5 linked regions of the Oryctolagus cuniculus genome follow. The protein of the gene in region 4 interacts with the protein of the main gene of each other region in a pairwise test. Links are inferred from orthologs where the notes say so. Each region holds a gene or a part of one and is shown on either strand. Other genes may lie near its edges. The genes, in order: PIAS4, TOPORS, PIAS3, SATB1 and UBE2I.

Region 1 (6,115 bases), on a different chromosome or scaffold from region 4:
CGGCGCTGTGGCACAGCAGTTTAACGCCCTGGCCTGAAGGGCGGACATCCCATAGGGGCGCGAGTTCGAGTCCTGGCTGTTTCACTTCTGATCCAGCTCCCTGCTGTGGCCTGGGAGAGCAGTGGACGATGGACCAGGTGCTGGACTCCTGCACCCGCGTGGGAGACCTGGAAGAAGCTCCTGGCTCCTGGCTCGCATCGGCACAGCTCCGGCCACTGCGGCCAACTGGGGAGTGACCCAGCGGATGGAAGACCCCCCCCCTCTCTCTCTCTCTGCCTCTCCTCTCTCTCTCTCTCTTTCTCTCTGTCTCTCCTCTCTCTGTGTAACTCTGACTTTCAAATACATAAATAAATCTTAAAAAAATACTGCAGCCACTTATTCCCTTATTTATTTGGGGGGGGTAATCAAGAAATGGAGAGAGAATTGGAGAGCCTGGCCACCTTCGAGTTCACCTCCCAGCGCTTCTCATTTATTTATTTATTTATTGACAGGCAGAGTTAGACAGTGAGAGAGAGAGACAGAGAGAGAGGTCTTCCTTTTGCTGGTTCACTCCCCAAATGGCCACTACAGCCAGCTCTGTGCCGATCCGAAGCCAGGAGCCAGGTGCTTCTTCCTGGTCTCCCATGCGGGTGCAGGAACCAGGATCAGGCTGGGACCAGGATCGGGGCTGGGACAGAACCAGGGCCGGGACAGGACCAGGGGTGGGACAGGATCAGGCAGGGACAGGATCGGGGCCGGGACAGGACCGGGGCTGGGACAGGACCGGGGCTGGACAGGATCGGGGCTGGACAGGATCAGGTCCGGGACAGGATCAGGGCTGAGACAGGATCAGGTCTGGGACAGGATCGGGGCTGGGACAGGATTGGGGCCGAGACAGGATCGGGGCCGAGACAGGATCGGGGCTGGACAGGATCGGGGCTGGGACAGGATCAGGGCTGAGACAGGATCAGGGCTGGACAGGACCAGGCGGGGACAGGATCGGGGCTGGGACAGGATCAGGTCTGGGACAGGATCGGGGCCGGGACAGGATCGGGGCTGGACAGGATCAGGGCCGGACAGGATCGGGGCTGGACAGGATCGGGGCCGGGACAGGATCGGGGCCGGGACAGGACTGGGGCTGGGACAGGATCGGGGCTGGACAGGATCAGGGCTGGGACAGGGCTGGGACAGGATTGGGGCTGGGACAGGATCGGGGCCGGGACAGGACCAGGGCTGGGACAGGATCGGGGCCGGGACAGGACCGGGGGTGAGACAGGACCGGGGCTGGGACAGGATCGGGGCTGGACAGGATCGGGGCTGGACAGGATCGGGGCCGGACAGGATCGGGGCCGGGACAGGACCAGGGCCGGGACCGGGGCTGGACAGGATCAGGCCGGGACAGGACCGGGGCTGTGCCCTGTCTCCATCAGCTGTGGTGCTGCGAACACTCCTGAGCCCAGGTGAGCACACACAGCGGAGGCTGACCGGCCGCAGGTTCCGGCTGAGAACGCGGAGCCCACGGCCAGCGCGGGTCTCTCTTCCCAAGCCGCTGCCATGGGTGGCACCGTGGAAGATGACGCCTGGGACGCGCGCAGCCCGTATGGGAGTGCTGGCTCCAGCTTCGGCCCGGCCGCGGCCCTGGGGGGCCGGGATGGAGCTGCTGCCCCCACCCCCGGCTTCAGCCTGCTGGCCCTGGCTGCCTCGGAGCTGGGCAGGTCCCAGCCGGACAGGGACCCAGGGCTCGCCGTGGACACCGGCCCGCGGCGCCCCGGGGAGGGGGGTCCCGCGTTCGCCCGCCCGGGCCCAGCCCGGGGTGCAGCGCCCGCGCCCCAGCTGCGCGCCAGGACCCGGATGTGCAGCGCGCGGGGCGCCAGGGGCGCTGAGCGCGCACCGCGCGGCGCTGCAAGGCGCCCACTGCACGCACTGGCGGCCGCAGCGGTTGAGCAACCGTCCCCTCCCCCGCCGACGCCGGGGAGAGTCCAGGCACGCACCTGGCGACCGCCGCGCGCCGGGAGACGCGACACCTGGCCGCATTGTTGTCGCCCGCCACCGCCCCCTCCCTTCGTCCCTCCCCAGAGGCGACCCAGCACCCGGCCCCACCTGCGCGCGGCTCCTGCCCCTTTAAGAAGCCAGACCACGCCAGGAGTGGGCGTGGCCTCCGGGATCAGAAGGGAGGGGGGCCGCATCCGGCTGTTCTGATTGGCTCGAGGCCCGGGCGGGGCCGCAGGCGCTTGCGCAGTGAGTGGCAGCGCGCGCCGTGGGGGGAGGAGCGTGCGCGGGTGCTAATTGGCCCGAGCGGCGGCCCCGCCCGCGAGTGGCGGTCGGTCACGTGACGCGACGGCTGGGGGCTCCCGGCGCGGGGGACGCTGGTGGCCAAGATGGCGGCGGAGCTGGTGGAGGCCAAAGTGAGTGAGCGGCGGCGGCGGCGGCGGCGGCGGCGGCCGGGGCGGGCGGGCGGCCGGGCGAGGGGGCGGGGACCCGGCCGCAGGCCGCGCTCTGCGCCTTCCGCTCTGGCGCTCCCGGGGCGGCCGGGTCCCCCCGGCCCGGCCCCCGCCCCCGGCCCCGGGGCTCAGGGTGTGGGCGGGGGGCGGGGAGGCCGGGGGCGGGGTCCCAGCCTCACCCCCGCGTTCCCGCCCGGAGCCCGTCCGGGACTGGAGGCGGGGTTCCGTGCAGCCCACCCGCGCGGCCGGGGGCCGGGGACCCCTGCGGAGCGGGCGCAGGGCCGCGCCTCCCTGCGGACGGCCCGGGCTTCCCGCTCGACTCCTGGGCGCCGGCCGCGGGTGTTCGCGCCTCCCCGCTGCGGGGCCGTTGGGGGCCGGCGGCGGGGTCTCGAGCCCCCACGCCCCGGCCCGGCAGGTCGCGACTCCGGGTGCTGACCCCTCGGCCTCCAGTGCCGGCATGCGGGTGGGGGGTCCGGGCGCGGGTCCGGCCCCCCGTGTGGGTCCCGGAGCTCCAGCCCCTCCTCCGTTCCTGCCCAGGGACCCCCCCCCCCAGGCGCCCCGGGTTCAGTGTCGGGCGCTGGGCCCCGCCGCGGGGCCGGATTTGGGGCTCGGGGTCCCCTCTCCCCGCCCCCCCTGCGCACCCTCCGCGCAGGCCCCTCCCCCCGGCGCCCCCGGGGGTCTGGTAGACACGTTTCTCTAGCGAAAGTTGTGGCGGTGCGCGCTCCGTGTGCGTAGACGGTGCTCTCTCCCGGGTCCGGGACCTCATTGAACTCTGTGGGGACAGAGCCTAGCGCCAGCGTCTCGCCTGCCCCGGGTGCCCCCCCCACCCATGCAGCACCCTGGCCTCTGTCCCTTCCTCTCCCAGAAGCCACCAGGGAGGCGGGGGCCCCTGCGCGAGGCCCCGGCCTGTGAAAGCTTAGCCCCGCGCTGAGGTGTAGACGCCACCCCCCCCCCCCCCCGCGCGGTGCAGCCCGTGCCTCGCCTGGGCCGGGGGCTGCACTGGGCTCTGACCCCCGCGGGGCGCGGTCCCGTGCAGGGCTGGGGGCCACAGCGCCCGCGTGCCCTCTGCCCCCGCCTCGCGGTGCAGCCCGTGCCTCGCCTGGGCCGGGGGCTGCACTGGGCTCTGACCCCCGCGGGGCGCGGTCCCGTGCAGGGCTGGGGGCCACAGCGCCCGCGTGCCCTCTGCCCCTGCCTCGCGGTGCAACCCGTGCCTCGCCTGGGCCGGGGGCTGCACTGGGCTCTGACCCCCGCGGGGCGCGGTCCCGTGCAGGGCTGGGGGCCACAGCGCCCGCGTGCCCTCTGCCCCTGCCTCGCGGTGCAACCCGTGCCTCGCCTGGGCCGGGGGCTGCACTGGGCTCTGACCCCCGCGGGGCGCGGTCCCGTGCAGGGCTGGGGGCCACAGCGCCCGAGTGCCCTCTGCCCCCGCCACGCACGGTGCAGCCCGTGCCTCGCCTGGTCCGGGGCTGCACTGGGCTCTGACCCCCGCGGGGCACGCTCCCTGTGCAGGGCTGGGGGCCGCAGTGCCCCGTCCCCCCGCCCGCGTCCCCGCTGCCCCCGCCACGCACGGTGCAGCCCGTGCCTCGCCTGGTCCGGGGCTGCACTGGGGTCTGACCCCCTCGGGGCGCGGTCCCGTGCGGGGCTGGGAGCCGCAGCGCCCCGTTCCCCCCACCCCGCGCGGTGCAGCCCGTGCCTCGCCTGGGCCGGGGGCTGCACTGGGGTCTGACCCCCTCGGGGCGCGGTCCCGTGCGGGGCTGGGGGCTGCAGCGCCCCGACCCGCGAATGGGTGCAGATGTGGCCTGGGTGCAGGGGGCTGTCCTGGGGAGGGCGTGACAGGCTCGGCTGATCCGGGGGGCTCCTGAGGCAGGTTTGGGGGTGCGGCCTGTGGGGTCGCTGTGCTGAGAGTTCACAGCCTGTGCAGGTGTGGGGGGCCACTGTCTGCTCACAGAGCTCAGGGGGCCGCCCCGGGCGGGCTCCCACCCAGGCCCCAGGCTGCGCTGTTTGCGGGCAGAGGTCTGGTGGGGGTGGGCCGTGGCCCCGGGCGCCCCCTCCGCCTGCCGCGGTCACGCGCAGGTTCCTGGGCGGCGGCGGCGAGCAGATGGCAGCGTGAGGGCGCCCGCGGCTCCGGATGTCCAGCCCGTGCGGGGGACTCCCGCGTGCAGCGCGGTGTGCCAGCCTTGAGCCTCTTCCAGAAGCGACATCTTGTCCACAAGCCCCCCCCCCGCCACAGGAAGTCAGGCCGGGAGGGGCGGCGTCTCTGACCCCAGAGCTGGCCGGCACCCCCAGGCAGCGGCCCGCTGGACAGCGACGGCGCCCAGGCTGAGTCCGAGGAACCGTGGGAGACTCCGGGCAGGCCACGGCCCCTTCCCGCCCCCGTTTCCCCACCTGCCCGAAGGGGCCGGGCGGCCCGGAGCCCCCTGCGGGAGGAGCCGCTGAGGCTGGCTGAGGGTGGGCGCAGCCAGGGCCCCGGAGCCCGTCCTCGGGGCCTCACTCCAGCAGCCGGGGGCGGGAGACCCCAGGCCGCCAGACGCTCGGGGCAGCCGGCCGTGTCCCCGCGGCGGCCCTGCTCTCTCCAGGCCCGGGCACCTGCTTCCCCTCTGCCCCTGGGGGTCTCTCACCCAGGCCGGTGTGGGGGTTAGTGCAGCGTCCTGCCGGACAGCCCAGCTCAGACACAGGGCCCGACCTCGCCGGTGAGACCGTGCCCGCCCGTGGGCCCTCTGGGCGCTCCGCTCAGCCCGGCTGGCCCCGGGGACAGAGCCAGGCCCAGGGGACAGAGCCAGGCCCAGGGGACATCCGGTGTTTTAGAGTGCGCCCAGCGCCCACGATGGCCTTACCCGGACAGCCGTCTGGGCCAGTGTCCGCCCTCTGCGGGGGGGCACCGAACGGGCTGGGGCAGTGTAGGAAGAACGCAGGGTGTGGATTTGAATCCCGGCGCTGCTCTCCCGAGTGGACGCCTGCTGTGTTAAGGGCTATTTTTTGTTTGTTCAGAAGAGTTACTGAGAGAGGTAGAGACAGGTCTTCCATCCGCTGGTTCACTCCCTGGTGGCCACTGCAGCCGGAGCTGGGCCAGGGACTTCGGGTCTCCCACGCGGGTGCAGGGGCCGAGGACTTGGGCCATCTGCTGCCTCCTCAGGCCACAGCAGGGAGCTGGATCAGAAGTGGAGCAGCCGGGACTCGAACCGGCGCCCATAGGGGACCGTGGCACTGCAGGCCGGGGCGTTAACCTCCGTGGCTCTTTTAGGGGTCACAGCTCCGTGCGTGGCTGCCCCTGCCGTGGGCTGACCGCTCTGCCTGGCAGCTCTGGGGTGGCCGGGCCCGTGCCTGGTAGCTCTGGGGTGGACTGGGCCCCATGCCTGGCAGCTCTGGGGTGGACTGGGCCCCATGCCTGGCAGCTCTGGGGTGGCCGGGGGCCCCGTGCCTGGTGCCTGGTAGCTCTGGGGTGGCCGGGCCCCGTGCCTGGTGCCTGGCAGCTCTGGGGTGGCCGGGGGCCCGTGCCTGGCAGCTCTGGGGTGGCCGGGGGCCCGTGCCTGGTGCCTGGCAGCTCTGGGATGGCCTGGGGGCCCGTGCCTGGTAGCTCTGGGATGGCCTGGGGGCCCGTGCCTGGCAGCTCTGGGGTGGCCTGGGGGCCTGTGCCTGGCAGCTCTGGGGTGGCCGGGGCCCGTGCCTGGCAGCTCTGGGGTGGCCGGGGCCCGTGCCTG
Region 2 (5,353 bases), on a different chromosome or scaffold from region 4:
CTGTCACTGAATAATGAATGAATATGGCCGAATTTAGTTCAAGATCTGCTATTCTCTGGCAGTACAACAGTTTTCTAAATGTGGAATGATTTTATCATCACCAAAACATCAACATAGCTACTTTGTATAAAAGCATTACCAATGTAAAAGAGGTTTCCTAAGAGCATTTGTGTTTTTAGTAAGCCAAATGCCACCTCACTGCATTTTGCTGAAGACAGAAAAACCCAAAATCATACTGAAGAACCGAAATAACCATTAAAGCTGTCAAGTATTTATAAACATGTATCACCTATGCTTTAGATTTTGGCTCTACCATTTTTTTTTAAAGCAATACTGCATAGGAAAATTTGTGAATTCTTGTTTTAAAGTGTTACCGTTTTATTTTTTTCTTCCTTTTGTTGAATACACATGTGTTTTACTGGCAGTCCAGATAAACAAGTATATAAAGGAAAATACTAAATTTTTCTGACAGAAGATAAACTGTGCAGATTAAAATGCCTTCTCAATTTATCCCAAAGAAATAGTTTTGAATCATACAAATTTTTAAGAAAAATAAAGACTGCCCAAAGGGATTCTCCTAGCATAACACATTTCCAGAATAACTCTCAAAATAAAAAAAAAATTCAAAAATACTCATTGACTACCTTAAAAATGTCAATACCATATGGCTTTATGAAATAACTTCTAAAATTTATACGTTTTTATTTAAAAAGGATCCCAAGTTTTAAATAAACTGCTAACAATATCTTCTTCACTTAAAAGTGCATATCTCAGAGTGGGACATACATAACTTTTTGAACAAATAATGATTTTTTTACAAATTAACACAAAAAAATCACAAAATATTTTAAGGGGAAAGTTTTCAATCTAAAGTCATCTTTAAATAGACTGTAATAGATGACATTGTTCTTTTTCCTTTTTATACCATCAAAACTCTCAATGAGATGCTTTTAAGACCTATCCGTCTCTACCAAGAGACACTGACATTAATGATGTCCGTGGAGATGGCAACTGCCTTAATGGCTCAGACTGAAGAGACACATTACTGGGCTGGTTCTCCAAATCAGAGGCAAAGGTGCTCTCTTCTCTCACGTCAAGAGTTTGTTCAACTGAAGTTGCCTGGGGTGGAATAACATCCACAGTTTTGTTGCCATTATTTAAGTTGCTAGTAAGTGTGGTAATGTCACAGTCTTTATCCAGGACTCCAAATTCATCTTCTATTGTAACAACCTCTTTAGTTTCGAATGGTTCCAAGGAAGGAGCCAAAAACTCATTATGTAGAGGGTCTGGAAGACCATTATTGTCATATTCTGTATCTTCTTTGACTTCAGAATCCTTATCACTGTCACTGTCAATGGTAATAACAACTGGGGACCGTGAAGTATTATCTCCATGGTGTTTCTTATGCTTCTTCTTGTGTTTCTTCTTTTTCTTTTTATGATGTTTAGCTGTATCAGTAGCTTTTCCTTCATAAACTATCTCCACACTTAGGCTCCTGGTTTTCCTTTTCCTCCTCTTGTGTTTTGTCTCTCTGTCTGATGATCGGCTGTCTGAAAAGCTATCACTCTCATTTTTATAGTTTCCATCCAATTTTGATGAAGATTTTTGATAATGGCTATCCTTCACTTTAGAAGCAAACTCACGGGACGGTTGAGCCACTTCATTAGTACCCTCCAAATGCCGTGTTTTATATTTTCGTTTCCCACCAGGCTTTTCATTTCTCATTCGGTCAGGTCCTGTAGATGCAGTCCTTGATCTATTACTAGACAGGCTCCTTGATCTGTGCCTTTCATAATAGTAATATTTCCTTTCATTGTGATTATTCTTTTTCCTGGCATTTCTTTCAGAAAAAGACTGAATTCTAAATTCTGGACTTGAAGATTGTCTGGAATAGTGGGCTCTAGACAGAGTCCTCCTCCTATAAGATGATTCATAGCCATCCCTGTCCTTGTTTCTACTATAGTAAGTATATTCCCACTTGTATCTGCTTCCATAATTATTTCTTAAATAGTAACGATCTCTATTTCTGCTCCGTGATCTTCTTCTCCCATGATCACTGCTACGAGACCTTGATCTGCTTGTGCTTTCACTACTTAGAGAGAGAGTTTGGCTTCTTCTTGACCAACTGCTATCTCTAGTTCGTGATCTCTTTTTGTCTCTTCTCCCTCTAGGTCTACTACTCTCCCTGCTTCTGGATCGTTTGCTCTTCACTCTTTTCTTCCCATGATGTTTTCTATGATTTTTCTGATCATGCCCACTTCTACTTTGGGACCGTGAATCTGAACTTCTTGATCTTCCCCTCTTCCTGTGTCTATGGTTATACAGGGAATTTACTCTGTCTCCTCTCAGGTCTCTGGGAGATGATACTGATGTAGATCGTTTTTCTTCCTTCTTTGATTTGATTCTTGTACCAGAATCACAACGGCCTTTATTCATTTGCTCATTCTTTCCAAGGACAGAGCGTGGAGATGAACATCTACTCACATCACTATCACTGGAACTGTAAGACTGCTCTTGTTCTTGTGCCTTCACTGTCTCCATTTTCTCATACGAGCCTAACTCCTCAGAATCAGAGGACAGTTCAACAAGTTCTGGGGTCCGCTCAGCTAGTGGTTTAACAAACCCAACGATGACACAATTATCTGAAGAATCATCACTGTCATTATTTAGGTCCTCATTGGTTTGCACACCTTGTATCTGAGATGTGGCTCCGCCTGTGACAAGTTCTTCATCTGAGCTGTCCGAAGTATTTAAAACGGAAGACATGGCAACATGTACCTGCTCTGAGCTTGAGTAAGATGGTCCTGGAGTTTCATCATCCCACGGTGCCTGACTAACAGTGGCAATGTTCATATCCAGTTCTTGGGTCTCGGCTTCATCTGGAGATATTGTTATGACTGAAGAATCAGAATGGCTGCCTTCTTCATATGAAGGAGCAGGGCAATCATAATTGGCATGTTGATCAAAAGCTGCCATATTAAAAGGAGATCGAGCAAAACTGATAAATTCATGTATAAAATGCTCAGTTCGATTAAGTAAAAATGGCCTTAAGTCAGACACAAACGCCTGACTCTCCAAGTCATAGCGAGTCACATTACTCATGATGATGTGCTGGACAATATTGACTAAAGATCCATGAGCTCCAAAAAGAACTGTGAGCTCACGTTTTAGCCAGGGGACTAATCTATGAAGGCAAGCTGGATTTCTACGGAAAAATTCTGCTGAGATATCCCTGTAGCGGCCACCATCTTCAATATTTCTAACTCGAGCACCTGCACGATAGAGAGTTCGTCTAAAATTAATAATATCTTGTTCTTGAATTTTCCGTAAAGATCGTTCATCTGCATTAGTTGGCCTCCTTATTGCAATCTGTCTCATAAATTGAGGAATTTCAACATCTCTAGGTCTTGCTGAAATGCCTAATCCTTCAAATAGTACTCCACTGTCTGGCGGAGTGGTTGTTCTTCTATTCACGGTGCTACTAGGTGAATAAACAGATGCATTCCGCTCCCTTGTCATGGTTGTACGGTAGCGAAATCGCCGAACATCAGGGGTAGTAAAGGAACCATTATATGCAGGCCTTAAGACATACTCCTTAAAGTCATCTTCTGCCCTCACAGAATGGAAAATAGAATCAAAGGGCTGTTTACATAGTGGACATTCAGCTTTGTTTTTTGACCACTCCTGTACACAGCGAAAACAGAACTTATGTAAGCAGCGATCTAAGTAAGACACATTATCAAATCTATCCAAGCATATAGGACACTTAGAATCAGGAGATGCATCAGCTGGTACTGTCTGCTGCAATTTGCTAGTGCCAGCTTTAGGTGAAAAGTTGTCCATTTTAAATTCTTTAGCAGCTGATGCCATTATCTGTAAAAGGGAAAGAAATATATCAGTAACCTGAAAAAAAAGAATGACTAAATAATCTGAACAAAAATGCAATAAAGACCTTGGAACATACTTTGGTGAAAATACCTGAATGGTTTATAGCATAGGAATATATAGTAACATACAGCACAAGCACTAAAGTTAGATTTCCTGGTCTTAAATCCTGGTTGCATACTATCAGTGTGACTGTGGACCAGTTACTACGCATGCGCTTTACTTTCACCTGTAGGTCAGTTATAATAGAACCTGCCTCCCAGGGTCTGTAAAGATGTAAAAAGACATTAGAAAAGGTACCCAGAACTTAATAATCTCTTAAATATTACGTAATATTCTATTTTGTTTAAAAAATAATTTAACTGGGCTGGCACTGTGGCGCAGCGGGTAAAGCCGCAGCCTGTAGTGCTGATATCCCATATGGGTGTAGGTTCAAGTCCTAGCTGCTCCACTTCCCATTCAGCTCTCTGCTATGGCCTGGGAAAGCAGTGGAAGATGGTCCAAGTCCTTAGGCCCCTGCACCCACATGGAAGACCTGGAAGAAGCTCCTGGCTTTGGATCTGTACAGCTCCAGCCATTGAGGCCAACTGGGGAGTGAACCAACAGATGGAAGACCTCTCTCTGCCCCTCCTTCTCTCCCTGTGTAACTCTGAATTTCAAGTAAATAAATGAATCTTTAAAAATATTAATACTAATAATTTCACTGAAAAATATTTCATATATACCCAAAAAAGATCAAAACAAAATATTCCAAATACCCATGTATCTACCACTCAGATTTAACACTTTTCATAGTTGCTCCAGATTTCTTTTATTCATTCCTCTATCTCTAAGAGAAAAAAAAACACAACCTTCAATTGATACTTTTTTTTTTTTTAATTCAACAGGTAGAGTTATAGACAGTGTGAGAGAGAGAGAGAGAAAAAGGTCTTCCTTCCGCTGGATCACTCCCCTTAATTTATACTATTTCTGTCTATTTCCTACCTTTCATGCACATATGCCCTTAATATTATATAGTATTGATTTACTTTATGATAATATTGTATATGTACTCTTCTAAAACAGCTTTAGTGAAATATAATTTACATATCAAAGTTCACCTGTTTAATTCTATAGTTCTCAAAAATTACTTAAAAAGGGATCTTTCAGTGGAGATAAAGTCAAATAAATGTAAAAGCACTTAAGGGCAATGGCTGACTAATAGTGCCCACTGAGTACTGTTATTATTATGACTACTATGCTATTGTTATTGTACTATTATAGTCAGCATTTCTAAAAAGCCTTCCTTGCCTTTTTTATTTAATCCAAAAGTCAACACCAAGGTATCTTGAAATTATGTTTCATTTCCCTTACCTATTACCTTTTCCCAAACGATCACTAGAATCTTAAAGATTAGCTTTGTTTTCTTTATATTCATCAATTTACATAGGCTTGTAACTTATAAAATGAAGTTGTTAGAGCTGAAATC
Region 3 (5,016 bases), on a different chromosome or scaffold from region 4:
GGAGCCAGAGCCAGGAGCTGAACTCAGACACTGTGATAGGGGCTGCAGGCATCTTCACCACCAGGCCAAACACCTGCCCCAGACCCCCTTTAGTACATATGGCTTATTTCTCCTCACCAGGAGAACCCCACGTCTCACCGTGTCCCTCTACTACTCCACATATGTGGTGACATTAAGGACTTAGTATAGATAAGGCATCTTGATGCTAAGCACTTTGCATGCATTATTGCACTAGATCTTCCTCATAACCCTGTGAGGTAGGTACTTCATTACAGAGGGGGTAACTCAGGCTTGGAGATTCTTACTCAAGGCTGCACTGTTAGCAGCAGAGGCCAGTGTATCGCTCGTAACGACTCCCTGACCTCCCACTAAGGAGGCGGTGAGGTCCTCCTGAGGGCCTGGGGATGCTGATCTGGCTGGTCTCGGGCCCTGTCCTGAGCCTATGTATGGTTCTTGGTCCCAGTGCCTTTTTGGGGGTGGTTGGTGGAGTTCTGCCTCTCTGCTTCTGTCTTGTTCCTAGACCATGCATAGCTAGGGCTCAGCTTGTGTTCACTTTAAAACATACAGTTTGTAAAGCTCTTATTTGATTGCAACAACTCCAGGAGGTCCCGTAGTTTGGACAGGATCCCTCTATTGCCCAGGAAGGTGAGTCCTGCATCTCTCTGGCCACTGTGGCACTCAATTCCCAGCCCCATGAATTTCCACCTCTTCCCTCCCACAGTTTATTCATGGAGATTCTAAATTCCTGTTCGGACTGTGATGAGATCCAGTTCATGGAAGATGGCTCCTGGTGCCCAATGAAGCCCAAGAAGGAGGCGTCTGAGGTTTGCCCCCCGCCAGGGTATGGGCTGGATGGTGAGTGACCCCCTGTCCCCCAGATGAGCTAGACCTTGGCTGGCCTTTTCTCTGAGACACAGTCTTCTCACCACTTGCAGGCCCCCAGTACAGCCCAGTCCAAGAGGGAGCTCCAGCAGAGAATAAGAAGAAGGTGGAAGTGATTGACTTGACAATAGAGAGCTCCTCAGATGAGGAGGATCTGCCTCCCACCAAGAAGCACTGTCCTGTCACCTCGGCTGCCATCCCAGCCCTGCCGGGAAGCAAAGGGTATGAGAAAGTAGGCTGACTCCGCACTAGGGAGGGCACAGCAGAAGTCAGTAGTGCTCTCTGCTCACCGGGCAAACCTGGGGCCAAGGGAAAGGCAATGGGGACAGAGAGGACCCTTGGGGAGCTGGGCGGGGTGGGGCATCTGGGGTTCGCCGGCTGCCCCAGCTCCTTCTCTCCACTCGCAGGGTCCTGACGTCTGGCCATCAGCCGTCTTCGGTGCTGCGCAGCCCTGCTATGGGCACACTGGGCGGGGATTTCCTGTCCAGTCTCCCACTGCACGAGTACCCACCTGCCTTCCCCCTGGGGGCCGACATACAAGGTACGACCCTGCTACCCACTCCCCCGAGCCCAGCAGAGCCCTTGCTGCTCACCAGGGGCCGGAATCCCAAAGACTTGCCTGTCTTGGTGCTAAGAGGGTGGGACAGGAGGGTGATTTGTATTTTCCCTTTCCTCCCAGGTTTAGACTTATTTTCTTTCCTTCAGACGGAGAGTCAGGTACGTGGTCCCTTCTCCCGTGCAGCTCTGATTGGGGCCCACACAGAGACCCGGATCCGCTTTTCTCAGGGGAGGTGGGGTGCGGGCAGCACTGGTACTTCCTCAGATTGCCACTTAGATCTTCCTGGATCCCTTACTGTTCTGTCCCGAGGGATTCTGGTGAGCTTCTGGCCCTGCCCCCCCCCCCCCCCCCCCGCAACCTGTGTATGCTTAAGAGCACCAGACCTGCCCCAACTGGACAGTCCACATATTTCAGACACCCACAAAGGCCAAGAACCTAGCAACCCAGAAGGGCTGTGTCAAGGCCTGGAAAAGGGGTGGCGTGGCAGGGAGGCAGGGGGAAGAGTCAGAGAGAGGCTTCTTGCCTCCCAGGGAACACCTTAGGGTCCCCATAACAGTTCTGGACCCTGTGACCAGGAGGCGGGGCTGAGTAGGGGTAAAGTCTGACACTGTGCCCTTGATCCCTCCCAGCACTACGGCCCCTCTGTCATCACCTCTCTGGATGAGCAGGATGCCCTTGGCCACTTCTTCCAGTACCGAGGGACCCCCTCCCACTTCCTGGGCCCACTGGCCCCCTCGTTGGGGAGCTCACACCGCAGCTCCACTCCAGCGACTCCTCCTGGCCGGGTCAGCAGCATTGTGGCCCCCGGGGGGGCTTTGAGGGAGGGGCACGGAGGCCCGCTGCCCTCAGGGCCCTCCCTGACTGGCTGCCGGTCTGACATCATCTCCCTGGACTGAGTCCCTTGGACTGTGGAGCCTGTGCTGCCCCCCACCCCGCAGCAGGTATGCTGTGGCCGCCTGACCTTTCTGGGGACTGTGGTCAGAGGTCAGGCCTGACTTTTCCTGGAGACCTACTGGTGGCCTCATCTTTGCTTGACAAGGCCAGCACCCAAAGGGTTAATATTTAACCTCTTCAAGGACATGGAGGGGTCTATTTTTGGAAATAGTCTTCAGATGGCTGCACATTCCTTTGGGTACCTAGGCCAACAGGAGGGGGTGTGAGTCGGGGGGAGGGGCTGAACCCCTGGCCTCTACTCTGTCTAGAGCCTCTTGGCAGAGGGGCCCTCTCTTCCCATCCCCCAAACCCAAACTTTCATTGTTTCTTCTTGTCTATTCCGCTCCCTTTGGCCATGCAGATGAGATGGAGAAACTGAGACAGGCGATTTCAGAGATGGACAGAGAACTCTATTTTGGGTTGCAGATATTTTGTACATAAACAAGAAAAACCAAAATACTCCAAAGATGACTTTCCCAACCTCCTACTTCCCAGTATAACTGAGGAGATGAGGCCTTAGCCGCGATCCCCAGGGGTTTGGGAGCAGGGCCTAGCCTCTTGCCTGGGTCTCTATTTATATATTTAAGTTCACAGTGTTTCTTAAGCTGACTAGCCTGGGGCCTAAGCGTCTAGAGGCCCGTGGCCCTGTAGTCAGGCCTGGCTTATTCTGCACCTTTCCTGGGAAGTGGGGGGACCCACGTGCCCTCCTTTGTCGGGCCCCTCCAGGGCCCAGCATACGTGTTGCAATTTTACTTTGTATTCCCAAAGTTGTAGCAGGTTTCTCACCCATAATAAAGGTTGTGAATGTTCTGTGAGCGTCGTGGAGGTGGGCTCTGGAGGGGATTACCCACTTCCCTTTCCAGAGCGCTGGGGTAGGGGAGGAGGGTCCACGTTCTGTTCTTCCTTTGCGACCTGGGTCCACGCTTGCCACACTGAGGACTTCCCAGAGTAGTCGGTTTTCCCTCGCGCCCCCGCCCATAACACCACCAGACCACTGGAGCCCAGCGCCACAGAACCCTCTCATGCCCCCCCACCCCGAACACCACCAGAGCACTCCACAGTGCCACAGAACCCTCCCGTGCCCCCGCCCAGACCACCACCAGACCACTCCAGCCCAGCACCACAGAACCCTCCCATTCCTCACCTTTACCGGCCCAGCTGCTGTAGCCAGAGCCCGAGGGCAAACTTGGTGCCAGAGCTGACTCTCTCCGGGTTGTCCTCTGCGGTAGGGGGGGTGTTCCGCAGCAGCGTGGATGTGGGGAGCGCCACGGCTCGGGCCCTGCCCTCCTCTAGTTCCATTGCTCTGCATGGGGACAGCTCCTGTCTGGGCTTTGCCTTGTTGGGCTTTCATATGTTAGGTCATCTACTCTCAACTACTGTAGCAGGTGGGTGGCTAGCTGTGAACCTCATTTTACAAAAAGGAAGCATGTTCAAGGAGGGTTAAGGGACTGGCTCCCATGGGAGAGCTTTGAGTCAAACTCTGGACCTCCGTGCTAGGCAGCTGGAGTCCTTGATCTCATGTGGTTTCTTAATTCTCAGAAAATCAATGGGGTGGTGGGGTGGGTAGAGCTCAGGGAAAAGTTCTTACCCCACAGAGAGTGGTAGGTCCGCGGGGAGGATTCTGGGTGCTTCTGTCCCATCCTCCGTGGCAGCCACTGCAGCTGCGATATCTGGTCCCAGCCACATAAAAGCACTCACTTCACTTGGGTTTGGTTGGATCCTGGCCTAGGGTCAGACAGGACCCCTCAGTCCCGGCTTCTCCCTGGGAGGCCTGTCCTTGATACTAGCCTACTTGCAAGCGGAATGCTTAAAGACAGGGGAGGAACTACTGGATGCTCTTGGTGTCTCTGCCCCGCCCCCTGTGATCCCCTGAGCCCCATTTCCTTCCTCCCTAGCCAGCCTTACCTGCAGCTGCTGCTGTGACTCCTGGGAGATGACGAGTAGATAGAGAACAATGTGATGGTATTTGGGGAAACCCCAGCTCAGCCTAGGCGGGTAGGCAGACTGAGAAGAAAGGCAAAAGAGAGGGCTTCCTGTCTCTGATTCTGAGACTTAGTAAGTACAGCTCTGGGGTGGGCCCACAGCTGAGGAAGTGGATGGTAGACACGGTGCACCAGGGACACAGGTGAGGGTTTGGGCCTCTCCCACTTCCTCTGTGGCTAAGGCAGCGTCTGCGGACTTGCTGCTGGTGGCGGCAGTGGCCGTGGTGGTAGCAGAGTGTTTGCTGAGGTCTCTTGGTTAAGTGGGAAAGGATGGTCCCCAGGTCCCTGGCTCACCTCCCATAGTCCCAGAGGGACCCAAGAGAACTGGCCCTGTGCCAGCCGCAGTCCAGTCTCCTCCCAGAGCTCTCGGAGTCCTCCATCCAGCAGCTGGGAGTAGGAGAGAGGGCGGGTCAGGCGGCCAATGCCTTTTGCTCCCCCTGTCCTCAGCCCACACCCAGTGGAGGGGTGCCCGTTGGGTCGCTGACTGGTACCTCCTCATCCAGTTCCACATGTCCACCTGCAAGGAGAGTGGGGACCAAGAGGTGAAAGGTGATTGTCTTCACCAGAAGCCCCACCTCCAGGGGTCTCCAGATGCAGCTGCAGCAATGTGGACAGGCCACACTTCCGGGCCCGCGTCTCCATTCCAAGACTAGGAAGTGC
Region 4 (5,838 bases):
ACACACCCAGGAGAAGCAGCAAGTTTGAAAATAAAATGATGATACCCTTTCTAACAGCATTCATGTAAAATGTGGCTTGCTTCCTGTGTGTGCCACAAAGCTATGGAGATATACAGCAACTGATTTCCTCCTTAAATATGAGTATCAAGCAAAAAATATTTCATGGCACATTTAAAATGGGAATACATCTCATCTAAACAGTATGAAAGGCAATTTTGGGAGGTTTCTATTTAAAATACGAACAAAAATTCTGGTAATTAATCAATAGATTATAAGAAAAGGAGGTGTTTTAAAATACACTTTTTGACTGCAATATGTCTAGACATAATCTGAAGATTGATTTAGTCACATGCATTTATTTTACATACTTCATCAATTCCAAGTACTAATATAACATAAATTACAGTCATCCAAGACAACATGTATGGAAGAAACGATGTATTTGTGTAAAGGGCATATCTATATATGGCCCTTCTGGAAATTTACAGAGCAGATGAAAAATCACTAGAGTGCTTTAGAGAGTCCCTGCTGTATATCCATGTTGTGTTTAGCTTAATAGTGTTTGTAACCAAAAGATTTTTACAATAATGAGGAACAGGTGCCTGTCACCTGACCTTTTAGGCCTAATTTACAATCCACAACCTGTTACATTAAAAAAAAAGAAAAGAAAAGAAAAGAGCTGAAATTCTCCTCTAGATATCTCAATCTTTGCTAATTTAATGTACTGGAGTTCCTAACCATCACTCAGCATATCCTATCATAGTCAACCACAGGTTCATATGGCTGGCAACAGACTTCTTTGCAGCAATAAACCAAATAATCATTTTGTTGCTGTTCTTGTTTAAGATGCTAGGAGACAAAAGAACTGGTTTTCTAGATTATCAACCAAAGAATATATTAATTTATTACAACAACTGAACAAAAGGCATTCCTTTTGAATACTTTTACATACAAAGAACTATTATTTATTACATATTTCAACTTGTGGGAAAGTGAGGAATGCATTGATTCTGAAAATAACTATTCAGACTTCTGGAAGTTCTTTAAGTCTTATCTATTTCTTCCCTCTCCCACCCCCACAGCACACACATTTTAAGGAGTTTGCACTTTAGGAGGGAAGCCCCTATTCTTTTTTTTATTCATCATCTGTATTTATTATTCTTCAGAAGGGAATACAAAATTGAGTATTGATTTTACTTCTCTTGTATTATCCTGTTACATGTAGCTATATTCAAATTTAACAATGCTTTGGATTTTATAGCTACTGCTTACATATTATGTACTACATATGACTGAACAACTCTACATTTAAAATACTGTTTCCATTAGAAAAAATATGAAGTAATAAGTGTCAAATGGTGATGAAGAATAAACATTTGGTATATTTATAAAGTGCATAGCTATTTAAAATGTGCACAAGTAGGATACATATTTTGCTACAGTTACATTTTACATGACATGCACATTGTCTAAAGTGTATTTAATAATGAGCTTAACCAAGTTAATTAAAGTATTTACGTCTGGTGATTGTGTTAAACACTTGGTGAGGTAGTGAAAGATACAGCCAGTTACTTCTGCTAACTAAAGTTGAAATTATGCACTTATTATAACCTTTCCTAACAATGTGAGAAAAACAGAGTAAATATATTAAATTTGTTTCACAACAGATGCTTAGGTTGTTAATATTTAAGATGCCTATTCATGCTATTCCTGTCTGCACATTTGTCAAAAATGTAAGCTTGAATGCTAATGTTTGCCAGCAGACTGGAGCAGCCAGTATATGAATGTACTACTGTTCCACTAAAATAATACGCAATAGAAATAAAGGACGGCTGCTAAACCATCACACTAATACCACGTAGGGGACTGCAGGTTTTCAAAGCAAATACTTGCAACCTTGGCTTTCTCCAGAGTTAAAGTGCGGGGCCTATTTATTTATTTATCTAGCAGCTACATTTGAATATAGAATAAACCTCACATTCCTGACATCTCGGAAAAATCCACCTTAGATAGGGTGTCGACGTCAGTTAAGTTTGAACGGGACGAGTTACTCTGTCCGCAGCACAAACACTGCAGATATCAGGGGCTGCTAAGGACAAAACCCGCTCTTGACTTACTCTCACCCCCCTCCTCTGTCCTCTGGGGAACCTCAGGTCCCGGGCCTCCAAGGATGCAGGCGTGGAAGCCCAGTCAGTCCGGAAAGAAAGGTTCCCTCCCTGCCAGCATCAGATCTTTCTGTCGTCCCTGCTTTTGTTTTTTTAAACCACTACGTGGAGTTCCAGTCTTAGAGCATTTGCCAGGAAACCCCGGGCTGTCTTGGAGAAAGTTCTCCGAGGACGGGCGCAGGGGTCAAAGTGGCCAACCGGAGCACTCTGCGACAGGACCCCGTGGCTGACGCTCGGAAGGGAGATGTGCGACGCCCCGGTGGAGGCCGGAGCCAGAACCTCCAACCCGAGTGCCACGCACTTCGGCCCTCTCCGTCTTCTAGGGTCACCTCGGGAGGGTCCTGCTCAGCGTCCCCCCTCCCGCGCCCAGCTCCCCGCCTCCCTCCCCCCCTCCCCGCAGCCACGCGCCCCTCCCCGGGCTGGCCACCTGCCTGCTTCTTCCCTCTCCTCGTGGTTTGCCAAGCCCCGGAGTCTCGGCAGGGGAGAGCACCTGGAGGAGGCCGCCGCGCTCAGGTCCTGACCGCAGGAGGGGACCTCGTGGCTGCACCTGTGACGTCCCGATGCCCGCTCCGAGGGCAGCACGCGCCCTGCCTCCTAACCTGCATCCACGCCGCAGCCCCTCCGGGACCGGCCTCGCCGCAGCCAAGCCCGCGAGGGCTCGAGGCGCGGAGTGCTGCAGCTTTCCAACTCCCGGCCCCGACGCGAGCGCCCAGGCGCCCGAGCGGCTCCCAGGATGGAGAAGTTGCCACAAACTTCCCAGGCCCCTCGCCTCCGCCGCTCGCGGCCAGCCGCGCCAGCGGGCGCAGAGGAGGCGGGGATGGACCGGCCAGGGATGCTGCACGGGCCGGCGGGCCGGCGGGGGCACATTTCCTCTCCCCAGCCCGCCCAGTCCGGGGCGCGCGGAGAGCCTGCCCCTTTCCCCGTCCGCGTCCTCTGGTCTCCTCCGTGCCCGGTTTCTCTTCTGGCAGGGGCTGGACCGATGACCTGAAGGGAGTTTGCCGGGCAGGTGTGTGCGCGTGTCCACACCTCGGGAGAGGGCGAACGGCGGCGGCGGCCAGTGCCCAGCCCGCCGCTCTCCCTCCCGGGAAGGCGCACCCCTCCGGGGGCTCGCGAGCCCCCGGGCCCCGGCGGCCGCCCGCGAGCGCTGAGCCGAGCCGCGGGGCACGGGGCGCGGGGCGCGGGGGTGGGTGTTGCAGAGAAGTTTGGGTCGATCCCGGAAAAAGAGGCAGGCACGGCCGTGAAAGAGCAGGAGCAGCGGGGAAAAGAGGCAAAGGAACAGAACTCACTCAGGCATGGGTGCTGGGGGCGGCGGTGGCGTCGAGTGCGGCCGAGAGCAGGCACGGCTCCGGGCGGGCGCGCCCGCGTCCGACTCCGAGGCGGCGGCTCTGCCTCCCCAGCCGCCGCCGCCGCCGAGCTGCGGCTGCCGCGGAAGTTAATCGCAACTTGACTTCAAGTTGCCTTCTTTTCCCCCTCCGAAGTGGGCGTTTAAAGGGTAGAGCGAGACGAGGAGCGAGGAGCGAGCGAGCGCGCGGGGCCGAGGGAAGGAAGAGCAGGGGGGGGAGGGAGGAGATGTTAACGGGGGAGGGGGAGGGGGAGGGGGCGGCGGGGGCGGGCGGGGGAAGGGGCCGGCGGGAGCCGCGCTCGGCTGGGCGGTCGCCGCGCCCGCAGTCTGCAGGCGCAGCGCCGCGGCCGGGCGCCCCCGCGGGAGGCCACAGCCACCCGGGCGCGCATCCAGCCGCCGCGCCTCGGCCGGCTCGCTGCGCCCGGGGGCTCGGCGGACCCCGCGTCGCCGCTTCGGAGCTGGCGCGGCGCGGGCGGCCCGGCGGGGCGGCCGGCCGGGGCCCGGCCCGCCTCCCCAGCACCCGCCCCGGTTTCTCCCCCTGGCGGCGGGAGCCTCCGCGGCCGCTGGCAGCCCTGGGCGCACGGGAGCCCGAGCTGAGCCGAGCCCGAGCCGCCGCCGCCGCTGCCGCCGCCGCGCGCGCCGCTCCCGGGCCCCCTCCCAGCGCGCCGGCCGGGGTGGGGGCGGGGGCTGGAGGGCCCGGGGTGGGCGAGGGGCACGCGCCGGGGTTAGCGGCGAAGAACGGACCCTGGGCCGCTAGGGGTAAGTGTGGGCGCTCGGGGGTGCGCGGCACGATTCCCGACGCCCGCCACCCCTGCCCCCTCACCTCTCCGGGCCCCACCACGCGCACCCCTCCTCTGCCGCCTGCGGCTTCCTCTTGTTGTTCGTTGTTTGGCTGGGCTTTTGGGGAGGGTACTGAGAGGGGGTGTCAGCGGTGTGGGTGCCGGTGGAGGAGGAAGTCAGGTGCGAGGCCCCGATGCGCCCCCCTCCCAGCCTGCGTGGGGTGCATCGCTCCCCACTAGGGGCATGTGGGCCAATTTTTTTTTTTTCCCGTCAGTGTTCGGTCGAGATCTTTCCTAGAGGGTCGCTTTCCCTCTCAGCCTGGCCCGTCCGTCTCTCTTCATCCCACCCCCGTCCCACTCAGCACCCCCACCCCCATCTTGGAGGGCTGCACCCCAACTGAGCGGCGCTTGGTGGTAGAACAGAGGGGTTCGCTTGCCGACCCCAGCGGTGTGCCCCAGCCCATTTGTTTCAATATTCCTCCTTATGTCAGCGGCTGCACTTTTGAGCCCACTGGAATGAGAACGCCTAAGCTGAGGTTCGAGTCCCCCCAAAAGCTGGGGGCAAAGAGGGAGGAAGAGATGAGGATTTCCTGGACAGGGGGCTAAGGAGAGGAGAGGAGAAGGAACCTTTCGAGAGCGGGGCGGAAACTCCACAGACCTCTGCTCCACCAGGGTGCGGGTGCCTGGAGGCTCCAGTCCCCAGGCTAAGGATAAACTGGAACTCCATCAACTTTTCCCTCCTTGCCCTGCCATTCCTGCCCCCAGCTGTAAGGCAGCTAACAGGTCTTTTGTGCGTGTCGCCTTTGGGAAATTTGCATTGAGTATGACAACAGAACATTACTACTGTTTACCTAAAGTTAAGGGGAAGCAGACTCTACTTCTTCCCTTCGTGCAAGTGTGTCTGGCGAGAAATGGAGTTGTGATTCCTGATAAGCATTGCAGAGCGGCAGGGTGTAACAATAAAGACTGTAGAGCTGCCTGGCTGTGTTTTTGGAAGCTGCACTTTCTTCAGTTCCTTTCGCACAGGCTTGCTCGCTCATTAAGTCCCCATAAATAATTGTATTTAGAGAGAGAGAGAGAAACTATGGAAGCAGGAGGAAGATTGCTAAAGATTTCCATGCTGCCAGCACAGAGCACTGTTCACAGGGAAGTTCCTGGAAAGAGTGGGCTGAGAATCCAGCGCTTCCTAAAAGCTCTGCCAGGTCCTGCTCCTCTCAGATGCCTATGAATAAAGCACGCTGGGAAAATCCTGAGATCCATGCAGTCTTATTTTATCTTTTACACAGGGGTTGGTTCCACTTTCAAGCCCTAGTAGGAATGCATCCACTGTGCTGTAATTTTGTGTGTTTTTCTAAATAACGGAGAAAACTCATGTATTCGTACTGCTTTCTGATATCCCCCCCTTTTTTCCCCTGTATATGGATATTGAATTCATTAGAATTGGAATTTATCCAAAAGACAGACCCTTTTGCCTCAATTTACCAAAATGCTGAGTTGCCTAACAAGTAGCAAAAATACTTGAAAGACAATCAGGTTTGGAAAAAATGTATTC
Region 5 (5,873 bases), on a different chromosome or scaffold from region 4:
ATCCCGTGTGGACTGGGACTGTCCCGTGTCAACCCATGCCGCGTGGACCCGGGGCTGTCCCGTGTTAACCCATCCCGCGTGGACCGGGGCTGTCCCATGTTAACCCATCCCGCGTGGACCCCGGGGGCTGTCCTATGTTAACCCACCCCACGTGGACCGGGGCTGTCCCACGTTAACCCACCCCGCATGGACCCCGGGGGCTGTCCTGTGTTAACCCATCCCGCATGGACCCGTGGCTGTCCTGTGTCAACCCATCCCGCGTGGACCGGGGCTGTCCCACGTTAACCCACCCCGCGTGGACCCCGGGCAGTGCCTGTCCACTCTGAACGTGTCCTCAGCCTTTTTTTCCCTGCACGTCCCTGCGCTGCCCACCACCCCTGGAGCGGCCACGGCTGGGGGTCCATTCGCATGCGGCACTGGGTGTCAGTGCAGGGACCTCGTCGACAACCACTAAGAACCCGGGTCTCCCAGCCCCTTCCCCCACAGCCACAGAGCTGCAGGTCAAGCAGACCACCCCTCCCACCAGGGCAGGGACCCCCACGTGCGGGTGTGGGCGCAGGCGGCCGGCGGGCCCCGGGCGACTCACATTTCGGGGGCGAGGACGGGTAGTCGTCTTTGAAAAGCATCCGCAGCTTGAAGAGGCCGCCCTCCCACGGCGTCTGCGGGGACAGACCAGGTCAGGGGCCACGGGCGCCCGGCGGGGCCTCGGAGGGGCCGGGCAGGGCTGCACCGGGCTGCAGGGGACCCGGGGCTCGGGCACGAGCGCGGCCAGCAGCCCTCTCCCTGAGGTCCGCCATGGCTCCACCAGCCCCCGGGGCAGAGTCCAGTCCTGTCCGAGGGAGGAGGCAGCCACGCCAGGCTGAGCCCACGCTGCAGAGTAAACCCTGGGGCCGGCGGCTCCCGACCAGGAGGCCACCGTGACGCATCGGGAGGGGCGAGGAGAGCTGGGCCACGTGGTCAACCCCCATCCCGCGTGGGGAACTGGGTTCGAGTCCCAGCCTCCTGCCAACGCAGACCCTGGCAGGCAGACGGCCCCCGCCCCCCGCATGGCCCTGCCAGTCTCTCCAGCCAGGGGTGGGGCTTTGGAGCTGAGGCCACTGCCAGGTCAGGGACCGCGAGACATAAAGCTCCCTCTCGGAGCAGCCACCAGCCACCAGCGCGGGGTCCTGCCGCCGCCCCCCGCCCCGGCCGCTTACCCCCTTCTTGCCGGGGATGGCGCACTCCCAGTTCATGAGGTTCATCGTGCCGTCGGGGTTCTTGGTTGGGACAGCCACGAAGCCCTGCGTGGACAAGCAGGGGAGTCCCCGGGCGCTCAGGCCGCCCCGCCCCGCCCGCCCCCGCCCCCGCCCGCGGGCTCTGCTTACAAACGGGTGGTCCTTCCTCCAGGCCTTCCTCTCCTGGGCAAGTCTGCTGAGGGCGATGCCCGACATGTTCCAGTCCTGGGGACACGGGCGCCGTGAGGGCCCCACTCCCACGAGCCCGAGTCACGCCAGGCTGGGAGGGCCCCACACCTCAGGCCGCGGGCGCACGGCGCTGCTGAGGGGGGCAGCCCAGCGCCGCTGCCCCAGCCTGGCCTCCCCCACGCAGGGCGCCTGCGCCCCGGACCCGAGGGCCAGCGCCCTGACCAGGGCCGGCCACAGCGGCCCTCAAGGTCCAGGACCACAGCCCAGGGCCCAGGCCGCCGCGCCTGGACTCCACCAGCTGCTGTCTGCCCCGTCCTCGGAACCCACGGGTGTCGCCCTCCAAGTCCCTGGCTACAGAGCCACTCCACGGCTCACCTGGCACTGGTTAGAGGGGGAGGCTCTGCCCGGGGCGGGCGGCATCCCAGAACCCAGCAGGCGAGAGCCCAGGAGAGCCAGACCTCCACAGACGATCGGACGAGGACCACGGTCCTCGGGCTCCTGAGTGCCGGCGCCTCCGGCCGTCGCACACCGCGCACGGCTGCAGGCTGAGCCCACGGCTGCTCCACTTCCCAGCCGGCTCCCTGCGGGGGGACGCCCAGGGCCTTGGGCCCCTGCACCCGCGTGGGAGACCAGAAGAGGCTCCCGGCTTCCACACGGCCCAGCCCCAGCCGACGGGGCCGTCTGGGCGAGCCAACCAGCGGCTGCGCGACCTCTAACTCTGCCTTGACAATAAATAAACCTTTAAAGAGGCGAAGCCGCCGCCAGGCTGCCACGCCTTCCCGCACCTGGCGCCCCAGCCCGGGCCCCTTCCGGGAACAGGCGTGGCGGCCCGGTCCCAGCACACCTGCCTGTGGCTCACCACAGCCTCCACCTGCACGGGCAGCGCGCGAGCCAGCCCCGGGCGCCCTGGGGTCCCCGGAAGCAGGCAGCACAGCACGGGGCAGGGGCCGGCAGGGGCCTGGGGGCCGCGGGGAGCCCGACGTCGGTCCCCAAGGCTCCTGTGCGCCTCTCACACCCTCCCCGCTGCAACCCGCCCTCCCGAGCCAGCGCATCAGAACTGCACCCCTGCCCGTGCTGGGCCCGAAAGAGCTCCGCCCACAGAGACCCCCGCGGCGGGCGGCGCTGCCCGTCCGGGCCGAGCCACAGGTGCGCACCTGCTCGGCGCCGGGCGCCCGGCCTCAGTCTCAGCACGCAGCCGCGCTGGACAGGTGGGCTGCCGCGGCCCGCACCGGCCGCCTCCGTGGCCCTTCTCGGCCCTCCCGCACCCGCGGACGGGCCCTCTGGGGCATGCACCCCACGCCTCCCTCGGCTGCGCCCGACCCCCGTCCCGGGACCCCCGCGCCCCGCCAGACAAAGGCACAGCGGCGGGCTTGGCCAGCGGCCTTGCGGGAGAGGGCCGGGGCGCCGCGCGGGGCAGGCGGCCCACACAGGCCCCGGGAGGCGGACGGAGGGCCGGGCGCGCTCCGGGCCCCGAAGACGCGCGACCCCCGCGGCGGGGCAGGGGGCTGGGGGCCGCGGCCACGGCCTCACCTTGGCCGGCACGGAGCCGCCCGCCGCCCGTGGCGAGCGGGGCGCTCTCGGCCGCGCAGGAAAACTTCCCTCGGCGGCGGCGGAGCCCCCCGCGCGCCCGCTGGTCCGCAACCGGCCGCTCCCGGCGCCCTCCCGGGCGGCCCCGCGAGCCCCGCGGCCCGAGGAAGGCGCGGCCCGGGCGGCCGCCGTGACCCCGAGGCCGCGCGCCGCCCGGAAGGCCGCGGCGCCCGCCTCGCGCCCCGCGCGGGCCGCCGACGGCCCGGCCCGAGCCCGCGAGGCCCCCCGCCCGGCCCCGCTCACCTCGGGCGGCCGCGGCCCGGCGAGCGTCACGGACGAGCGGGGGCCGAGCGGCGGCGGCGGCGCTTCCCTTTGTCTCGGGACTTCCCTCCGGAGCCCGCTCCGCGCGCAGCCCCGAGCGCCGAGGACCCCGGCGCGGGCGGGGCGGCGGGGCGGGGCCTGGCCCGGGGCTGCCCGCCGCACGCCTGCGCCGCGCGCCGCCGCCGCCGCGCCGCGCCGCGCGCCGCCCGCGGCCCCGCGCGCTCCTCGCCGCCCGCGCCCCGCCGCCGCGCGCCCGCGTCCCGCGTCCCGTCGGGGAGCCCGGCCCGGGGGCGACTTTCCAGTCAGGCGGCGCCCTGGACACCTGTGCTCTTAAAGGAGCCGCGTCCTCGAAGTGAGGGAGCGTCTGCAAACTCTCCTTCGGGGCGGGCGGGCGCACTCGAGGATACGCCGGCGAGCAGCCGGGGAAGGGGCGCGCCGCGTTCCTCAAGGGCTCCCCGGATGCCCGGCGGGCGCGTCTCAGCGCGTAGGTTCCGGAGGTCTCCTTGGGGCCGGGGCCCGGGGCCGGGGGGCAAAGACCACTGAGGCCTACGGATGCCCGAAACGGCGCAGGACGGCGACAATCCCCTGAGTCTGGCGTCCTGTGAAACCCCCTGCAATTGGCCAATGCAGGGGCCTGGGCGGGGCATCGTCCAGATCCGCCCAATCAGCTGACGCCGTACGGAAGGCCGGACGCTCGCCAGACCGACGGGAGGAGAAGCGCCGACGCTCCCTAGCCCGGGGCCGTCCCGCCTGGGGGAGGGGCGCGCCGGGATTCCCGCGCGCGGTCTCGTCCCACGAGCGCGAGCGCGCGGTTCGCGGGTCCGCGCCGTCCCGCGCGGGCACGGCGGGGTCGCCCCTGGGGCTAGGGCGCCGTCCGAGCCGTCGGCGCGGTGGGCGCCCGGGGCCAGGCGATGGGGTCGGCCGCAGAGGGCCTGGAAGGCACTCATTCACGCCCTCCTCCAGGCTCCGCCGTCCGCAGCCTTCGCAGCTCTGGTTTGCCGGGACACGGAACGTGGCTGACAGGCCTGGCGGCAGCGGCGGAGACCCCCGAGGGGGCAGAGACGCCCCTCATTCCCCGCGCCCCTAGGTCCCGGTCCCAGCTTCCCCGCGGTCTGCGCTGGGCTGTGTGGCCGTGGAGAAGCCGCTGGACCGCGGCCCTGGGGTCCCAATGGGCAGGGGTGGGGGGCAGGGCCTAGGTCTGCAGGTGGGGGGGGTAGGGCCCAGGTCTGTGGGGAGGGGGAGCTGGGGGGCCCAGGTCTGCAGGTGGGAGGGGGTCAGCTCAGGGGTCCCGGATCCGCGGTCCTCCACACGGGGACACCTGGGGCAGGGAACCCACCTCAGATGGGCCAGGTTCAAAGGACACACTGAGGCTGGGGGGGGGGGGTGAGGGCCCCGGCCCCGCCTTGGGGGGCAGCCCTCCACAGATCACCCACAAATCCGGGCTGGGGGGCTGGTCAGAAATCCACACCTGAGCAAAACCCAGAACTCCCGAGAACAGGTGCGTCCCGACCCCGTGCCGGGGGCGGAGCCGGGGTCTGGGCCCACCCTCGGGGGGGGGGGGAGTGTGCGTCCCAGGACAGCCGGCGACCGCGGGCCCACCCCGCCTCGCACTCCCGCCCAGGGAGGAGCGCGCAGAGAGGCTGTGTCCCGGGGGGAGCGGAGGCCGGGCCCTCCTCCCCGTGGCCGCCCTTGGACGCCCTTCGCTGCCCACCGCCTGGTGACCGCGGGCAGCGCTGTCCCTGCCCCAGAGCCGCGCCCCGCCCGGATGCGGGACGCACCTGCCGCGCGCTCCCGCCTGGGCCTCGGCTGCCTCACTTCCGTCTCCAGACAGGGCCTCGCGCACCTGCGCCGCTCCCGCCTCCGGCCTCTGCCCGCGAGCGCTGCCCGCCCAAAGTCGCCTGCGGGGGCTCCTCCCCGGCCCCTGGGCGGCCGGGCGGGCGCTCTCGGAACGCCCCGGGGGCAGGGGTCCGTCTGCCTCCGCACCTACAGGACTGCGGCGCCTTTACCTGCCCGGGTGGCCCTCGCGCGGCTCCCCCGCGGGACCTCGCACCTGCACAGCAGGTGGGCAGCCGGATGCTTGGCTGCGCGGGGGAACCGGGGGCGAATCCAGCCGTGCGGTGCGCCTGGAGCCGGGATCCCGCTCGTACGGGGAGGGGAGCAGCAGGGGAGGGACGCGCGCAGGCCCGGCAGGGCTCGAACACGCGGAACGCGAGGCTGTTACAGGCGCCAGGTGCGCCTCCTCCTCTGCTCCACCGGGCCCACCGGCGACACCTGGCGTCTCGGCCCCGCTCCGGGCCACGCACGCACACGCCCCCTTCCCGCGCGCCCTTGGCGCCCACCCGCAGACCCTGGCCGGCTCCTGGCGCCCTGTCGCGAGGCGCCGGCCGCATCCCCGGCCGGACTGCTCGCCCAGGTGTGCCTACCCCAGGTGAGGGGCTCCAACTGCGCACGCGCCCTCCCCGCAGGGGGCACCGCGCAGACCCCCTTGGACGCGTTGGGCTTCAAGTGCCGGGGGACACCGCTGCGGGCATGGACCCGCTGTCCTCGCCATGCGGACTTACCTGGGTCCCCGGGCGGCGCGGGGCGGCTCGGCGGGCGCTGACCGTCGGGGTCTGCGAGGGC

What was found.
Region 1: the proteins of SATB1 (region 4) and PIAS4 interact in a two-hybrid assay, tested with the Homo sapiens proteins (2 studies listed by BioGRID and IntAct). The link is inferred for Oryctolagus cuniculus from reciprocal best matches to the Homo sapiens genes SATB1 and PIAS4.
Region 2: the proteins of SATB1 (region 4) and TOPORS interact in a two-hybrid assay, tested with the Homo sapiens proteins (2 studies listed by BioGRID and IntAct). The link is inferred for Oryctolagus cuniculus from reciprocal best matches to the Homo sapiens genes SATB1 and TOPORS.
Region 3: the proteins of SATB1 (region 4) and PIAS3 interact in a two-hybrid assay, tested with the Homo sapiens proteins (2 studies listed by BioGRID and IntAct). The link is inferred for Oryctolagus cuniculus from reciprocal best matches to the Homo sapiens genes SATB1 and PIAS3.
Region 5: the proteins of SATB1 (region 4) and UBE2I interact in a two-hybrid assay, tested with the Homo sapiens proteins (3 studies listed by BioGRID and IntAct). The link is inferred for Oryctolagus cuniculus from reciprocal best matches to the Homo sapiens genes SATB1 and UBE2I.

The regions. Positions count from the first base shown.
Region 1 is NC_091447.1:59,294,002-59,300,116, reverse strand, and holds the start of PIAS4 (E3 SUMO-protein ligase PIAS4), read left to right. Parts: upstream 1-2,225; 5' UTR 2,226-2,357; coding exon 2,358-2,384; intron 2,385-6,115.
Region 2 is NC_091432.1:195,919,154-195,924,506, forward strand, and holds the end of TOPORS (E3 ubiquitin-protein ligase Topors), read right to left. Parts: intron 3,874-5,353; coding exon 958-3,873; 3' UTR 355-957; downstream 1-354. UniProt on the Homo sapiens protein: Functions as an E3 ubiquitin-protein ligase and as an E3 SUMO1-protein ligase. Probable tumor suppressor involved in cell growth, cell proliferation and apoptosis that regulates p53/TP53 stability through ubiquitin-dependent degradation.
Region 3 is NC_091438.1:49,038,387-49,043,402, forward strand, and holds the end of PIAS3 (E3 SUMO-protein ligase PIAS3), read left to right. Parts: intron 1-721; coding exon 722-855; intron 856-935; coding exon 936-1,104; intron 1,105-1,289; coding exon 1,290-1,423; intron 1,424-1,561; coding exon 1,562-1,599; intron 1,600-2,070; coding exon 2,071-2,337; 3' UTR 2,338-2,735; coding exon of another isoform or gene 2,736-2,753; 3' UTR 2,754-3,184; downstream 3,185-5,016. Other genes in the region: NUDT17 (nucleoside diphosphate-linked moiety X motif 17), read right to left, coding at 3,521-3,677, 3,963-4,099, 4,280-4,378, 4,651-4,743, 4,848-4,873. UniProt on the Homo sapiens protein: Functions as an E3-type small ubiquitin-like modifier (SUMO) ligase, stabilizing the interaction between UBE2I and the substrate, and as a SUMO-tethering factor.
Region 4 is NC_091435.1:154,005,707-154,011,544, forward strand, and holds the start of SATB1 (DNA-binding protein SATB1), read right to left. Parts: upstream 3,591-5,838; 5' UTR 3,452-3,590; intron 2,313-3,451; exon of another isoform or gene 1-2,312. UniProt on the Homo sapiens protein: Crucial silencing factor contributing to the initiation of X inactivation mediated by Xist RNA that occurs during embryogenesis and in lymphoma.
Region 5 is NC_091450.1:33,711,285-33,717,157, forward strand, and holds the start of UBE2I (SUMO-conjugating enzyme UBC9), read right to left. Parts: upstream 3,840-5,873; 5' UTR 3,574-3,839; intron 3,391-3,573; exon of another isoform or gene 3,234-3,390; intron 3,087-3,233; exon of another isoform or gene 2,934-3,086; intron 1,440-2,933; 5' UTR 1,431-1,439; coding exon 1,365-1,430; intron 1,281-1,364; coding exon 1,197-1,280; intron 660-1,196; coding exon 587-659; intron 1-586. UniProt on the Homo sapiens protein: Accepts the ubiquitin-like proteins SUMO1, SUMO2, SUMO3, SUMO4 and SUMO1P1/SUMO5 from the UBLE1A-UBLE1B E1 complex and catalyzes their covalent attachment to other proteins with the help of an E3 ligase such as RANBP2, CBX4 and ZNF451.